Pelodiscus sinensis: one gene and its partner. The main gene of each other region encodes a partner of the protein of the gene in region 2 in a complex. Links are inferred from orthologs where the notes say so. Each region holds a gene or a part of one and is shown on either strand. Other genes may lie near its edges. The genes, in order: CACNA1E and CACNA2D1.

The links.
Region 1: the proteins of CACNA2D1 (region 2) and CACNA1E are in contact, whole or in part, in a cryo-EM structure (PDB 8EPM), measured with the Homo sapiens proteins. The link is inferred for Pelodiscus sinensis from reciprocal best matches to the Homo sapiens genes CACNA2D1 and CACNA1E. Residues at the interface, in NP_001353796.1 of Homo sapiens: Thr170, Asp171, Tyr173, Ile233, Leu235, Ser261, Gly262, Ser263, Ser265, Gly266, Leu267, Lys270, Ala327, Lys328, Gly329, Ile330, Thr331, Glu366, Gln391, Asn393, Tyr394, Ile416, Gly417; in NP_001192222.1 of Homo sapiens: Gln110, Leu112, Pro113, Glu114, Asp115, Asp116, Lys117, Pro119, Arg122, Asn630, Phe631, Asn632, Asp633, Gly634, Ile1330, Gly1331, Asn1332, Val1334, His1336, Met1341, Val1343, Arg1346, Arg1393, Ser1394.

What each region holds. Positions count from the first base shown.
Region 1 is NC_134719.1:58,580,467-58,588,581, forward strand, and holds the start of CACNA1E (voltage-dependent R-type calcium channel subunit alpha-1E), read right to left. Parts: upstream 3,205-8,115; 5' UTR 3,163-3,204; intron 1-3,162. UniProt on the Homo sapiens protein: Voltage-sensitive calcium channels (VSCC) mediate the entry of calcium ions into excitable cells.
Region 2 is NC_134711.1:18,846,573-18,854,459, reverse strand, and holds the start of CACNA2D1 (voltage-dependent calcium channel subunit alpha-2/delta-1), read right to left. Parts: upstream 3,259-7,887; 5' UTR 2,791-3,258; coding exon 2,696-2,790; intron 1-2,695. UniProt on the Homo sapiens protein: The alpha-2/delta subunit of voltage-dependent calcium channels regulates calcium current density and activation/inactivation kinetics of the calcium channel. Plays an important role in excitation-contraction coupling.

The DNA of each region.
Region 1 (8,115 bases), on a different chromosome or scaffold from region 2:
ACAAGCCACCACGCTACAACCAAGGAGAGAAATGCCACTGGGTGCCTTGCTTGAATCGCTGGAGGAAGCAGATAGGCACGCGACCCACACGCCACCAGTTGACCCAGGTGAGGGGGGCTAGCTCTCCCCTGGTTGGCCCTGTGGCCTCACAGCAGTCACAGAAAACGTCAAGGTCATTTGGAAATAGCAGCTTGACCCAAAGGAAAGGAGGAGGGGCGTCAGGAAAAGTGGAGGTTGCCGACGGCACGATTCCCAGCACAATATTCCTAATGGATCTCGCTAGGAATAAGTGTTCCCACTGGGAGGAGGGCCAGAGGAAACTCTCGTGGGCTTAGAGGTCCCACTACCATAACAGATGGAGAAAGATCCTTCTCGGTATCCCAAATCAACAGCCCCATCCCATGCCTGGCCGGGGGTAAAGCCGCTGTGAGGTTCAGACGTCATGCGCCCATCCGCCACAGGCCTGTAGAAAGAGGGGGAAGCTCAAGGAGAAGTCGCAGTTACAAATACACAGTCAAGCCTGGCCCTTAGCACAACTCTGATTCAAGGAGCCCTGGAATGGGAAGTTCTGGGTGAGAGCAATCCATGGGGTTGAGATGCAAACACCCCTGGTAAATAATGAGCAAGAGACAATGTTCGCAGAGATGCCACTTCATGCCCTGCAACGGGGGCTGTGGCCAAGAGATGAAAGGCAGCCCCGTCCACGAAGCAATTTAGAGGCGCTCTGGACAGATGCCTCGGAGAAAGGGGCTGAAACTACATTAGAACAGCTGCGCCGATACAGACGCCACTGAGTGCTGCATCGCATTTTCTGTACCTTCGGGAGCGCCCTGATGAGACTTCCCCTGTTGGTCACGGACCAGGCTTGTCCCTGGCTGGAGGATGGCTTATTGAGCAATCCACTTCCCCTTGGCATTCCCAATAGCACCTGTTAAAAAGTCCAACACAGACCCCAGGATGCATGCGGACGGCCAGAGACACGAGGCAGACAGCTGGGAACAGCCGTCCTTCGTGAACACCTTGACACGCTGGACAAGGGCTACAGCAAAATGTTTCCGCAATATGAATCTAGCATCCAGATCCCAGCAAAGAGGCAGCAAAGGAAAAGCGACCGGCGTGCCCAACTCTGGATTGTTAGCAACTAAGATCTCTGGCGGCTCGTCACTTTCAGACTCCAGGGCATCAAAGGCAACAAGACGCATCAAAGTCTGCTGCTGGATCTGTGCTGGAGCAGACCGATGACCTTGATAAACCGGGACATTGTACTTCCAGCCCTGCAGTCTCACATGCTTGTGGACACAGATGAGCCACGTGGTTGCCTGAATTCAAGGCGTCTTGCTCAGACACTTGAGAAGAGTAACCCTGAGGTAGCCCAGCAGGTCTGCTGGAGGAAGACCTAGAACCGGGAGCGTTCCCAGTGTCCATGGAGCCTGGTGCCGGTTTGCTCATGTAGGACATAACGTCCTTTTGGGGGAAAAGAGAAAAAAAATAGTTAATATGGGCTGGGGCTGTCATTGCTGCTGTCCAAGTCTGACCCCGTTTCCTAGAAAACAACACACCCACAAAGGGAAAGGAAACAACCGCGGCAACAGAAAATGCAGCTTCTGTGTCTGGCATTGACTTTCGCTTGCAACCCCACTGATGAGAAAACACAGACCCAGCATATGGTCTGATCAGCCACTCTGAGACCTGGCAAACTCAGCCCAGCATCAGCTGTTTGATTTCATTTCATTACCTGCTTCTCTAATCACAGGCGCACAGCAGTGTTGCAAAATATGCAGTCTTGGCCGGCTCAGCCAGACTCTAAGGCTATGTCTTCACTTATACTGGCCTGACAAAATGTTTGGCATTCAGAGGTGCTTGAAACCCCCCCACGAAGAACAGGGGCACTCTCCTGATAAAGCAAAACCCGCACATTAGGGTGGAATTAAACAGTACTCATCTGTGCTGACAGTTAGCGACAGGACTATGTCAACACAGCCCCGTTGCTAAAAGCTGCCTAGGGCAGTCCTACCCTTAGAGAGAAGGAAGAAGGAGAGACAGGAAAGAAATAAAGTAGGGACGGAAAAAGATACACGGGAGGGGGGATCAGACAAAGTCTCAAATCCCAGATGAGGTTTGGGATTTAGCTGGAGCTGGGGAAGGTGGTTTGGTTCCTGGCTCCTACTGTCTGGCCCGCTCAGGTCGGGGCATTGATTACGAGCAGGCTGAAGGAGCTTGAGGCAGAACAGGGTGGGGTGGCAGCCATGACAGCGAAGCTCACGCCTTCCCCTTCTCTTTCACCCAGCCAGCAGCACAATCGTCGGCTTTTCTTCAAAAGTCGCTTTCCTTGTCAAGCCCCCAAAAGGGAGTGGTGGGCAGAAGAGTCCGTCCTCCTCTTTTTGTATCCTTCAATAGGCCTCATTTCCCACACACCCATTTGGGTTTAGTGACGGTGGGTTTTAAAACCCAGGCAGGCGCTTAACACATTCCTGGAGTTAGATCAGTAGCTCTTCTTGTCTGGACTTTAGTTTGCCTTTGGGGGGAGGCACCTTTTCCCGTCAACAATCCTTGTTATGGGTTAGTGTGACATTGTCGGGATTTATACTCACTTGCCACAGTTGAAATCACAGTCTGCGTAAAAGTGTAGTCCCATTACAAGGGAGCAGGATTCCCTGGCAGTAGAATTTCTGGGGAATAACCCCTGGTAATAAAGGTCATATGGGCTTTGACAAAGCTAATTTGAATGGTTTGGCTGGACACGGTTATTGATGTTAACAGGGTATTTATGTGGCACTTGTGTCAGGAAAGCTCAGGGCCAAAGCTGTGCGTCAGGGGAATGCCTCAATAAAACTGAGAGCCATCGGACAAATTTTTTTAGGAGGACTGCTCTCAGACATATGGTACCTCCTCAGCCTGTGGTAGTACGGTGCCTGGAAGATAACAGGGATTACAAATAGAAGATGCTGCCGTTTACTGCTCCTGCCTCTGCAGTGATCGGGGGAAGGAATATGAGTCAAGAGCATTGGGCGAGGTTGACTATAAATGCCAAGCAGCCAAATGTTACTTTCTCCTGGCTCTGCTCCAGGGTGGTTAACCCTGCCAGCGGTTCCTTGCTCAGACTCTCAGCCAATAAAAACAAGAGGTGGGGAAGCCAGCTTGGTTGAGATTTTGAATGCTCACCTTCTGTGACTTGACATTCAGACATCAGGAGATGAAAGACCTGGAAAGTAGGGATGTAAAAGGTTAACCGGTTGTCTGGTAAGCATTAGGTTCATTTGGATCTGTCCAAACCCCAGTGGTCGGCCAGCCATGGTGGCCTGGATGGCAAGACCCCACCTGCAGGGGCCCAGCCTGGAGCAACCCCCACCCAGTTGGACCAGTCAGCCACTAGGGCCAGCCTGGAGCAGCTGCCTGCCCATGGCAAGCTGGTTGCCGGGACCCCAGCTGCGGCGGGCAGAACTGGAGCAGCCTCCACTGTGCCTGGCAGGCAGGACCCCTGCCCCACAGAGGCAGTGGGACCATGGGGCTGGCGGGACCCCCATCCCCAGCTGCTCTGCACCAGCCCACCCACAATTAACCGATATCATTTTAATTGTTTAACTGGTTAACTGTTTTAATGGTCATTTACATCCCTACGCTGCACAGAGGAAAGTGAGGTTGAGGGACCAGATTCGGGTGAACAGTGAACGTTCAAGTCAGGAGCAAGATGCCAGGAGTGAAAAGAAAGTTTGGCTACACCATTGGACAGAACTGGAGAAAACCCTCAATCAACTCCGTTTTGTGGGGCATTACACAGTCATCAAAATGGCTGGTCCTGCCGTGAGGGACTGGACTCGGTGGCCTCTTAAGGTCCCTTCCAATTCTAGGATTCTGTGAGTCTAAGAAACTAATCAACTTATTCTTGCTCATAAGAGAAAAAAAAACATTATGGTCTTGCTTCAAGTACATGCAGAATGGATGCCCAGATCCCGGAGAAAAGAGACACCAGATGAGCGTGCGTGCCAGACATCTTTTACGGGGGCAGAAGGCTGTTTGGAAATCGCTCCACACGTTGATCTCGGAGAACAAGTTAAGGGAGAGAAATTACCAGGAATTCTTTTGGATCCCACTTGTCACCGTCACTGAAAGCCCATCAGAAGTCAGGCTGGCTTGGAGAGTAGCCACATACAACCGGATGACTCACATCCAGTTGACGAGAGATACAAGGCCAAACACTCCGCTGTGTATATTGGCGCAGCTCCGTTGGCTTCAGAAAAGTGGTGCCAATCAACACTCCCAGAAAAACTTGGCCCACTGCATTGATTGAATACAAGACACAGCCAGAAACTTACAAAGCTGGGAGGAGATTATAATATGCAGAACTTTTGTTCACACTTTAAGAACCCTAATTAAACAAAGGGAGAAGGCATAGTAATACATGCAGACATCCTGCACGCATTATTGCTGGTCAGAAAGAGGAGGTGCGTGTCACAGGTTTTTCCGCCTTGTGCTGCGAGGTTTTTCTGCCCATGTATTATCATCATGATCCTGCGCAGCCCTTGAGTAGCGCTTTTAAGTGATCCATGCACTGCACACTGATTCTCTGAATAGCCCTCATCACAGCCCTGCGGGATATGGATGTAAAGGTGCAGGACTGCCTTAGCCACATGACAACGGGGCAACACCACGGAGGTGGGAGGGTAACGTGTCCCCTACCACCAAAGCACAAAACATGCTGCTGAAGTCGTGCTGAGGCCAACCTAAACCAATCCTGTCTGGATCAGTTCTCTCTCTTTTGCGCAGTGCGTGCTGCTCCTGGCCATGGCTCCTAAGTTTGCAAAATTGGGCCACTTGTGCCCCCTCCCCCAGCTGGGGGGCACATGCGACCCCAGTTTATTTCTTTCCACACATCCGTCACGTCCCGTTGGTTTGACTGGGGGCAAGCTGATGAAGTCCATCACAGACTGACCGCAACCAGCCTCATCCAAAGGCCACACTGCAAGGTGCAATCTTCCTCATACTGAAGCTACATCTAGACTGCCCCCTCTTGCACAAGAAAATCTGCAAATGAGGCAAAGCGGTGAATATTGCCGCACCTCATTTGCATACTTAATGAGCCACCATTTTTGCGCAAGGGGCTTTTGTGCAAAAAGGAGCTGTCTACACGGCTCCTTTATACGCAAAACCCCCCTCTTATGTAGGAGCCGTTCTTCCTGAAAAAAAGCGGCAGAACAGCTCTTGCGCAAGAGGGGGGTTTTGCGCAAAAGCCCCTCACGCAAAAATGGCGGCTCACTAAGGATGCCAATAAGATGCAGCGATGTTCACCGCTTCACCTCATTTGCATATTTTCTTGCATAGAGGGGGCAGTCTAGACGTAGCCCTTTAAGATGATCAGGGGTGGGGGGAAGAGGTTACATCCATCTTCCCTCAGAGCAAATATTCAACCACTTTGCATTCTTGAAGTCGGATGCCAGCCAATCAGTGAAACCATCACAGACAGGAGAAGGGGCAGTTACTTCCAGGGGAGTCAAGCAGAGAAGAAGAGGCCCACCTCCCTCAGACATCACACCCACACACCCCGCCTCAGACGTCACACCCACACTCCCCTGCCTCAGACGTCACACCCACACACCCCTCCCTCAGACGATACACCCACACACCCCGCCTCAGACGTCACACCCACACTCCCCTGCCTCAGACGTCACACCCACACTCCCCTGCCTCAGACGTCACACCCACACATCCCTCCCTCAGACGATACACCCACACACCCCGCCTCAGACGTCACACCCACATCCCCCTCCCTCAGACGTCACACTCACACCCCCCTCCCTCAGACGTCACACCCACACTCCCTTGCCTCAAATGTCACACCCACACTCCCCTGCCTCAGATGTCACACCCGCATCCCCCTCCCTCAGACGTCACACTCGCATCCCCCTCCCTCAGACGTCACACCCACATGCCCCTGCCTCAGACGTCACACCCACATCCCCCTCCCTTAGACGTCACACCCACACACCCCTGCCTCAGACGTCACACCCACACACCCCTGCCTCAGACGTCACACCCACATCCCTCAGACGTCACACCCACATCCCCCTCCCTCAAATGTCACACCCACACTCCCCTCCCTCAGACGTCACACCCAGATCCCCCTCCCTCAAATGTCACACCCACACCTCCTCCCCTACCAGCTCTCTTTCTGGTTTACGCGTCTGACCACCGCCTCCCTACGTCCCCCATTTCACCTGCTCTTGCCCACTCTCTCCCACCCCTCCACCTTAACGCCAGGCTACTTCATTTTCACCTGTCCTCCCGCTCTGAACAGTGTGCACTCGATGAGCTGCACAACATTAGTCACTGGCCAAAGAGATGTGAGAAAAATGGGGGCACCCGCTTCATAATGCAAAGCAGCGCTCGGAAGCAGAGCACAAAAGGTTAGCGTGATAAGAGTAAATTAATTACAGGGCCTCACAGAGCAGAGTCAAGTGGCCACTCAGATGAGTGATTCATTCTCATTGCTTCACTATGTCTCTTACCGTCTTAATCTGTTTAGCTGTTAATTAGCCTTCCCTCCTGTCGCTTTTGTTCCACAATAGTCAGGGAGCAGCGGGCGAACAAAACCTAGAGCTCCTTGAAATTCAAACATGAGCAGTGGGTGAAGGTAGCCCAGCCCCGCCCCTTCTGCTGAGGCCCCGCCCCTTCTTCTGAGGCCCCGCCCCCAACACAGGGGAGCACGAGAAGGGCGGGCAGGTGCATGGCTCCAGCCTCCCAGGCCAGGAGAGCAGGAGGGCAGGCCCTGGAGGCAGCAACAGCCCGCCTCAGTATGCCTATCGTAGGCGTTCTGGGGGCGGAGCGTGGGCGGGGCTAGGCTTGCAGTTTGGGAAGGCAAAGCCTTCCCCTGCCTAGCACACGGCTGCCCAGGAATTCAAGGTTTAGTCTCAACAAACTCAGCAACTGGCCGCGTAGCAAGAGAGCCGTCTCTGCGGTTACGACGCCAGGGCACAGGCAGGTGTCACTGTCAGCGGAGGAGGTATAGGATTTTAAGTCACGTGGCTGTTTCTTGCTGAGCCTGGGCAAACGCTGCTTGGTTTCGGTTCATAAAGGGCCTCTCTCACAACCGGTGTTCGGGATCGGTGAGGCTTTGCAGACAGTAGCAGAAGAGAGGACTTCGGCCTAAGGGCTCTGTCTACAAATTTGTGCCACTTTAACTATACTGGTAGAGGCAGGCCTGCCAACCACGGAGAAGGGAGTAAAAGGGGCAAGTGTCCGGGGCCTGGTGATTCTAAAGAGCTCAGGGTTCCTAGCTACCACTGCTGCCCAGAACCCTGGGTCCGTTCAATTGCCACCAAAGCGCCACGCTCCAAGTGGCTCTAAGGGCTGTGGGGGGCAGCGTGGCGCACTCCGGGCAGCACTGAGGGGTGGCTGCCCTCGGCCCCACCCCTGTAACTTTACCTGTGAAGCTCTGCAAGTGTAAATGCAACTCAAGCCGGCAGGACCTGCTTTTGCTGTTCTGACTTATACCAGCTCAGTCCGCAAAGTAAGGCTTTGTCTCTACTTCAAAGGACTTTCCGGTACGGAAATCCTGGCAGAGTTATGCCAGCAAACCTGCCTCATGTAGAAGCAGCTTCTTACCTACAAGCGTTCCTTTGCCAGAACTGCCCTAACCAGTGAAGGGAATGGGCTACCTCAGCCAAAGGACGTTTGCTGGCGTAAGCAGCGTCTACACTAGCTGTGTCGGTCAGTCAGGGCTTTGTCCACACTCCTAACAGCCATATCAGGCTCCTACCAAATTGGTGGCCATGGAAAATGCACCACAGACTGTGAATTCTGGTCTCCCCCGTGAAAGCTGGCCTGTCAGGTACTTTTACCCTATTCTTTGCTCGGCAGCTGAACAGCCGCAGCTGCTGGCCAGGCGCCTGGCTTTGGAGGCACCCCTATGAACAGCCACACAAAAGAAAGGGGAAGCAGTGTTGATTTTTAAGGGACAGCTCGTGTTTCTGTGAACATTTGGGTAAAAGAAATCACTTGGGGGTGATGAGCCGAGCTGGGTAGAGCTTAGATCACATGACGAAAGGTGCTTTAGCCAACTCCAATAGATCAGATAAAGGAAGAAGGAGCTCTGATTACCTGAATAGTGATAGTAATGCT
Region 2 (7,887 bases):
ACAAAAGAGGTAATATTTTATATCACTGTATTGATTACATGAATTTCTTGAGTTCTGCATTTAAGATACATCTCAAAAGAATGAAATTACTGACACAAAAAATTCACAGGGCCATGAGGGTGACAAACAGCTATTGATGAAATCATAAACTATGCTAGAGTTTTTTGTTTTTACAATACCCCCCCCAGCAATACTTAAATGCCACTTTATATCAGCTTTTCAAAATCAATGATAAAAAGGGGTTCATGTAAAAAAAATATTGGGAAAATACTTGTAGATAAGTATAACAAATCAGGCATTAAACAGCCTTTAATGTGTCAGCTACTAGTACTCCTTTCTTTCCTTTCCACCCTTCAGTCCTTTTCTTTTTTTCCTATTTGTTACCTGTACTATTTACATCTTAAATTATTTACACTCACAGATATTCTCACTTGTGTCATTTTCACTTCTTCCCCTTTACACTATTCACTGTTGAGAAAATCATCATCACACAAGCATTAAAAACAGCATCCTAGCATTGTTTTCATCTTCACCTGTTACATCATTACTCTTTTGCAAAACAAGTCTTCCTACCAGCCTGCTGAACTGTCTCCTAAATGAACTGAGACTTATGTGCTCTTTGATTTCATTTAAGGGATGAAATATATTATGAAGGATAGGCAGACACTGGATTGTTTCTACAATGTTGCAATGGCTTAATTTTTTTTTTTAAAAGCAACCCACATACCATAAGTAGACAGTGGAGAACATTTAAAAGCTGTTAACCAAGAGGAAAAAAATATTTCTTATTCTGCATTCCTTATTAGAAACAAGTTCTTTGATTAACCAATACCTTATTTTGCTGATGTTTGCTTTTATGATGAATATAGTAATAGTGACTGCAAAGGTAAGAAGCAAATATGGACTGAGTGGACTACTAAGACTGAAAACCAAAGTATCTCACAGTAAAAAGTGGTCTGTAATTTCATCTGGAAATTATAGTATTTGCTTCACACCATGTTGATTTCAATATTTCTGTCTCTTTTATGAATTAGAGTAATTTTATGAGAAGATCAATTGTGAATAACATGATTTATCAATTCACTAAGGAGGTAGATTTCAACATCCTAAAACAGAAGACTAAGAGTAGCAAGTATTTTAAAAGATGAGTATCCTAGCATTTATTTTTACTCCTCTCCTTGCTTTACCCAGCACAACTTTGTAAGGCATTCTTTCAGTCCAAGAAACTGAATCATGAGTCAAGCATCAGAAAAGGCAAGGCTTCATTTATGCAATATAAAATATATTAAGTGGCTATGCAGTTATGTTTTTAATCCCTTTCCTTCTTGTACCAGTGTGCGCATCATTTTAGTTTTGCTTCAATATATAAATGGAACCAATATTAAGAACTGAAACCAATTGTAACACCCCAGCAGCACTTATTGGTGAAAAAGCACTCCTGGTAATCACTGGAATCGCCTGTACAGGATGAGCAAGAACAGTAAATTCTGCCCAGCATCAAACATAGACTACTACCCTTACTTTTGTTTTCCTGTAGAAAATGCATTCAAGTGAACCATCCACATAAAGTTACCTGATGACAGGTAACCATAGAACTAAAAGTAAGCGCTTCTACAAAGGAAGTGTGGTCATTAGCACACATTGTTTCTTATCCTATAAATGTCTGGTTGAAACCAAAAATATATTGGTCTATTTCCCCTTTCCTTTTTTGTTTCACATGGTTTTCAATATGTGATCCTTCCTTTGCTCTGGGAAACATTTTCATGTTAATAACTATACAACGCTTTGAACATTTTGGATTACATCCATGCAAAGTAGCAACATAAAACAGCTATTACTAAGTATTCCTTTTAAAAGGTGCAAAGGTGAATCCCCTGAAGTAATTATTATGAAAGCTAATGTTTGAGAGAGTCTGCATGAAAATACACCTACTTTACTTACGTTGCTTTCAACATGAAAAAAGTCTGTTTTTGCACATGATTCTGCACCCACAAAATCATACACACAAAACAAACCCTGGAGCTGTCAAAATATTCATGTTGTGAACTGGAGGAGATCAAGGTAAGAATGACATACATACATTTAAAATCCCCAGCCAAAAATTAAAATAACACTATCATGCAAACATGCATGGGGAAAGCAAGGATATGTATTTTGTGCATTTTAAAATTCTTAAAAAGAAGAAAAAATAAATTGCTGCTGTATTACTTAAAAATAGAAAGTATTGAGATTCCAGTCAAACTGAAATAGCCTTTGAAGCCCGTGGGAGCGGGGAGGGAGAATGTGTGCAACTAGAAACTTTCTTCTTAGCACAGCTCATCTGCTGGGGGTATATTTAGAGACTGGGACCCGGTCGGGAGTGTTGTTCTCATGCAAATCCCTGAACTCAAAAGTCTAGTACTTGGCTGTGCTGGGGCTTGCTGTTTCCCTCCTCATTGACCATCGATCGGAGATCCTGGATCTTTAAAGCAAAAGCAGCCAAAATCCTGCCATGTGCCCCAGTTACCACTTTATGAACAGGGCTCCCCCAATCCCAGGGAAGGAGAGTTCCCCTCGCACGTTACAATCCCACCCTCTCCCAAACACACACACACACACACACACACACACACTTTCTCAGGGAAACACCCTCCCCCTTCCCCACCACCGCGTTTCAAAACAAACCACGCCGGAGCCAAACTCGGCTGGGACTCACATAGAGGCAGAAGGGAAGGGTCCTTCCGAGGCCAGGTTCAGCACCAGGGAGTGGCAAAGTGTCAGACTCAGGAGCAGCCGCCAGCCAGCAGCCATCTTCCTGATCGAAGATCGATTCCCCCCAGTCACGGAGCCGGAACAAATAATTAAATGACTGGGGCTTGTTTTGCTTTTTAAAGCCCCCTCCCCCTCTCCCAGGAGCCGCCCAGCGCTGGGCGCAGCAGCTGGGAGGGGAGCTAGGGGTGGGGAGGCGAGCGATGGAGAGAGCCGGGGGGCGGGAGATCCAGCCGAGAGGGAGAGGCTCTGACTCTCCGCTACTCCAGCAGCGGCTCCGGCTCCCTGCGATCCGCCGCCATCAGGGCTACTTTGGGACCAGCTCTCCGCTCGCTCTGTGCCTGCGTGGGGCTGTCCGTGCCTGATTTATTCCCGATTGCGGAGGAGGGAGGAGGCGGCGGAGGCGGGGGCTGGTGGAGGGGGTGCGAAAGCAGGCAGAGGCTGGGCGATTTCTCCTCGGCTTCCCTGCCACGAGCCGCAGGAAGGGAGCTGGGGAAAGTCACCGCGGGGGCGGGTGGCAGAGGAGACTCGCCGAGCCCTATAGGGAGCCGCTTGCCATACAAGGCAGAGGAGGGACTCCCGGAGTCAGCCTCTGATCTCCCGCGCGAGGAGGGGGAGGCAGGGGGTGGTGCCTCGCCCCAGCCGGCGCGGAGCGGGCACATGCCAGAAAGCCGCTGCAGGCCGGCTGCGAACCGGCTCGGCTGCGCTCCGCGGCGCACTGTGCGAGGGGTGGTGCGCATAGACCCTGGGGTTGGGCCGGGGCAGCCAGCGTGGAGCGCAGGGAGACTCCGGCTGCCCCCAAAGCCGCGCCTGGCTTCTCGCTAGCGGCACCCTGGCCATGTGAGGCTGGGATTCTGCATCTCCCGATTTCCCCCGGGCAACCCTCCCCCGCAGCCTGCTTTCAGAGAGCCAGGCAAGGGAAGACCTAGTCCCGGGCAAATCGTCCAGCGCTCAGCAGCTTCCCGTTCGCCTCCCCCTAGATACTGGCCTGAGGGGTTTGTTTGTTTGTTTGTTGCGAGTGCTCGGAATTCCCCAGCTCTTTTGTAAACCTCTTTCCCATTTTGGGTGCTAAGCAGCAACACCTGGCCCCTTGCGCCTGTTTCCTTCCTGGGACAGGCGGACCAGATTTTGTCAGGGCGGTCACCGCGTCTGCAGTCTTGTTGGAAACCGGTGGGTCCCAGAACAGCAGACACACAAGGTGGGGGAGGTGAAATCGTGTTTTGGGACCAACTTCTGTCGGCGAACGAGAGGAGCCTGCCTGCTAAAGAGAAACCAAGACCCGACGAAAAGCTTATTGGGAGCTCGAAAGCACCTTGCTCTCAGCCCACAGAAGTTGATCCAGTAGAAGATCTTAGCCCTTGCACCTGGCCTCACCACATTTTTAAGAAAGAGATCATCTCAGGGCCAAGGGTACAAACAACTGAGAGCTAGGGAGGGGCTTCATCCCTACTAAAAATTAAGGGTTTTATTAAAACATGAAAACACAATTTGGAACAGAAGCTTGTTTATTTTGCTGTATTACAAGTGGAGCAGTTTAATCATAATAAAATATTACACATTAAAGCAAGTTATTGTTTCCTCTATTCCCCTCCTCCCCATCAAAAAGTTGTCTATGCCCTTGTAGGAGCCAACATCACTTCCATTCACAATCATGCAGATCAGCCCCTCCCACAGCCCCCATGACCCAATTCATCATCAGTAATATCCCCATGGAAACGGCAACTGTTTTACAGGGTAAAGGAAGGGGGGGGATTTATTTCATGGATATTTAATAGAGTAGGTAGAGAAACAATGGCAACTATTTTGAGTTACTCCAACCTTAAAAAAATCAATCTAATACATCAGCTAGGGGAGGTGGAACCAGCAACATCTATCTTCAGTAATTAGATAAATGGCTCACGTTACTCTAATATCGAAATGCCTCAGAATCTTTATTTGGCCCACTAGACCGTTGTGAATTTAGGCAGTGTTGTTATCTATATTTTATAGTTGGGAAACTGAGGCAAGGAGACTAAGCAGCTCACCTAGGGTCACTCAGGAAGTCTGTCTCAGAACAGGGAATTAAACACAGGTGCTCCAAATCACAGCCTTGTGCCTTAAGGACCAGACCAATCTTGTACCCCTGAGCTGCTAGCTCTCTGCATGACTGACAGCAAATACTCCACAGTCAGACCACACTTTTGAGACTCTCTGCCTTACAATGCATTTGTAGTGCAATTTGTCTTCTGTGTGTGACCTGCATCATTAGGATACCTGAAAGTTATGTCCAGTCTCATATTAATTATTCTAATCTAATGCAGCTTCTGCCTTCCACCTACTCCCTGATTCTATTGAACAGTGTCACTATTAACTCAATGGATTTACTACACTCAAACATCCCCACCCCTGAGACTTCTCTTCTCTCTGCATAGAACTCCATTCTGCTTAGCAATGTGGGGAGAACAGGGTGGTCATAACTCCTCAGTCACAAAGACTGTTTCAGCACTGAAGTAAAACTCAGCCAGCGTCTGTTTTGTTGTTTTATGGCATTTGGTGTTTTTCCTCAAGAACTCAACTCCTGGAGTCATATGACTATGTGAACATCTCAACTTCCACTTTTTAAAAAGGACATGTTTAGCCCTAATCATTGCAGAGAAAAGCTTAAAAACCATGACCTACAGCAGGCTCAGAGACTAAAAAAAGAAGGCGGGAAACCATCATAATTATTTTATCAAGCCAATCTCCTGATTTTGGGTGCCTGACTCATGATCTTTGAACATTTGGGGTTATAGCAGTGCTGACATGAGAGAGACAAATAATAAGGCAAAAGGAGGAATGCTCGGGTAAACAGTAAAGCCAGAAGCATAAAGTGGCATAAGATTAATTTTTTTTACATTATCATATTCTTAAGCTTTCTAATGCTGCATTTGTCATTGGTGCAGCTCATTAGGGCAATATCTGTAAAAATATTAATTAGAGTAACAGGAATACAAATAGCTTCCAAGATCAGGTCCCCATATAATAATATAGTTGGTTCTGTGTTTGTACAGGATCCAACACTAGTCTATGACTAAAGACTTAAGGTGCCACTGTAATATAAATACATAATAACAGTAGAAAAAAACCTGGAGAAAATACAAATAAAAATGTTATTGCTCTAATACAGAAATACCCCAAAGGCATTAATCAGTATCCAGACCATTATTCTAGGCCCTGTACAAACACATTGCAAGTAACTCGCTATAAAGAGATTACAAGCTGAGGCTCCCTACTGCAATGAATTCCATACCGGCGAACAGGTGAGCATGAAGCTCACTGCAAGCTATCAGAGTGATGACCAGAATATGCCCTATTAGCTCCCTGGATATACACATATATCACCAAATACCCATTTCTTTCCTTTTACTGTTAAGGGGTTTGTTTGTTTTTTAATGGCTTGCCCAGGTAGAAATGGGGTAGAGATGGGAATGGCAGGGATAGAAAAGGTTAGCAAGAGTGAATCAAAAGGAGAAGTGAAGGAAAGAGGAGCATGATGTCTATTGACATCAGGTAGTGTGGGGAGAGGATCAGAGCAAAAATATTTGGGTGAAGTTCTTGGACTCCCTGCACAGTCAGGAGATGAACAGATGCCATTGGGCTGGAGCGGAGGCATAAAGGGATTTAGTATTTACCTTTCTATTTCAAAAGGGAAGAGAGGGGGATGCCATTCCTGGATCAGGAGGTATTACTGTTCCCAGATTGTATGCCCCCCTCCGCAAGAGATGCAGAAGTCCATATGGAAAAGCAATGCATCTGTGACAGCTCTGGGGTGCTACTCTTGTTCCCAGACATTAACTCTTTGTTTTGTCATGCTCCTCCATATTAGAGAAAACCAGGAAGTATCTGCAGCTGGGAGCAACTCTGGAAAAACGGAACTACAGAAGTGAGCTCAGCTGTGTTGATCAGAAGACACAAGGCTATGCCTATTTCCCACTCTTCTGCTCCAGGGAGTGTAAACATGTATGCAGTACCATCTTACTCCTATGTTTCCAGGCCCAAGCCTGGAAAGTCCATGCAGGAGTACAATGCATGGGGCTAGTGCTCTGGATCACAATCTGGCTTCAAGGCTGGGTAAATCTGGCCAACCACCTTTGGCCATGTTTCTATTCAAAACTGATTCTAAACATGTACTCCATGATGAAATATATTGCAAGGTTAGATCTAGCTAGAACTGTGTACAGCATTCACAGAACACGGACAGCTCGGTGGGCTTGGGGTTTCATTACAAACTTGAGCCCCAAAACTGCAACAAGCTCCATGTAGGTAGATCACTCCACCCATTCATACCTTCAGTGAAGTCAGTGTGGTGTGGGATGCAGGGGTCTACTCACAGTAAGGATCAGAGCCTAAGTTTTCACCCGGATTGAGCCTGAAATTCTTGCAACGTGTACAACCCTTATTGGAGATGATCCCAGTGCAGGCAAAACCTGAAGTAGAGTCATGGTTTTGTTTCAAAACCAAGTGAAGCATGCAAATCCTTACATGTTTCTGAATCTGCCAGTCAGGAGGCAAGAAGAAGGATAGTGAATATTAGGGAACTCTGAACAGTGAATTATCAATATATTCGCTACAATGCATATGCGGGAGGGGAATTAGCTATTTCTGATTTACACCATTGGAATCAAGAGGAGAATCAGGTTCTCTATATATTTCTGACAATATGCCTTATTCTGTCTATTTTATCTATCCAAAGCCAGACTGCAAAAAGATTGTACGCCCCACTCTGGAGGAGTGTGCCATCCCTGGCTCTTCCACAAGGTAGCAATGGGCTCTCTCATGCTGCAGGCTTTGAGAGAGTACCCTGTGTCAAGAGACAGTGTCACAGACTCAGCTGGTGTAAACTGGAGAAGCTCTGTAGCTTATTCTTGAATCAGTCTGGCAGCTGTTTGCTGGGTTGTCTAAACACATGCAGGAAAATATACAGATGTCTACAGGCTACACTTGTAGAGCAAAAGTAAGTTATCAGGGATGAAGCACTAGCACATTTCTTCTTTTTCCATTAAGCCTCTGTGCAAGGAGCAGGACTGTGTCTAGCCTTGTGCTCCTATGCCCTAAAACAAAGTCCACTGAAATTAATGGGTGATGCCCATTGTCTTCAGTGGGGCTTTGGATCAGGCTCTT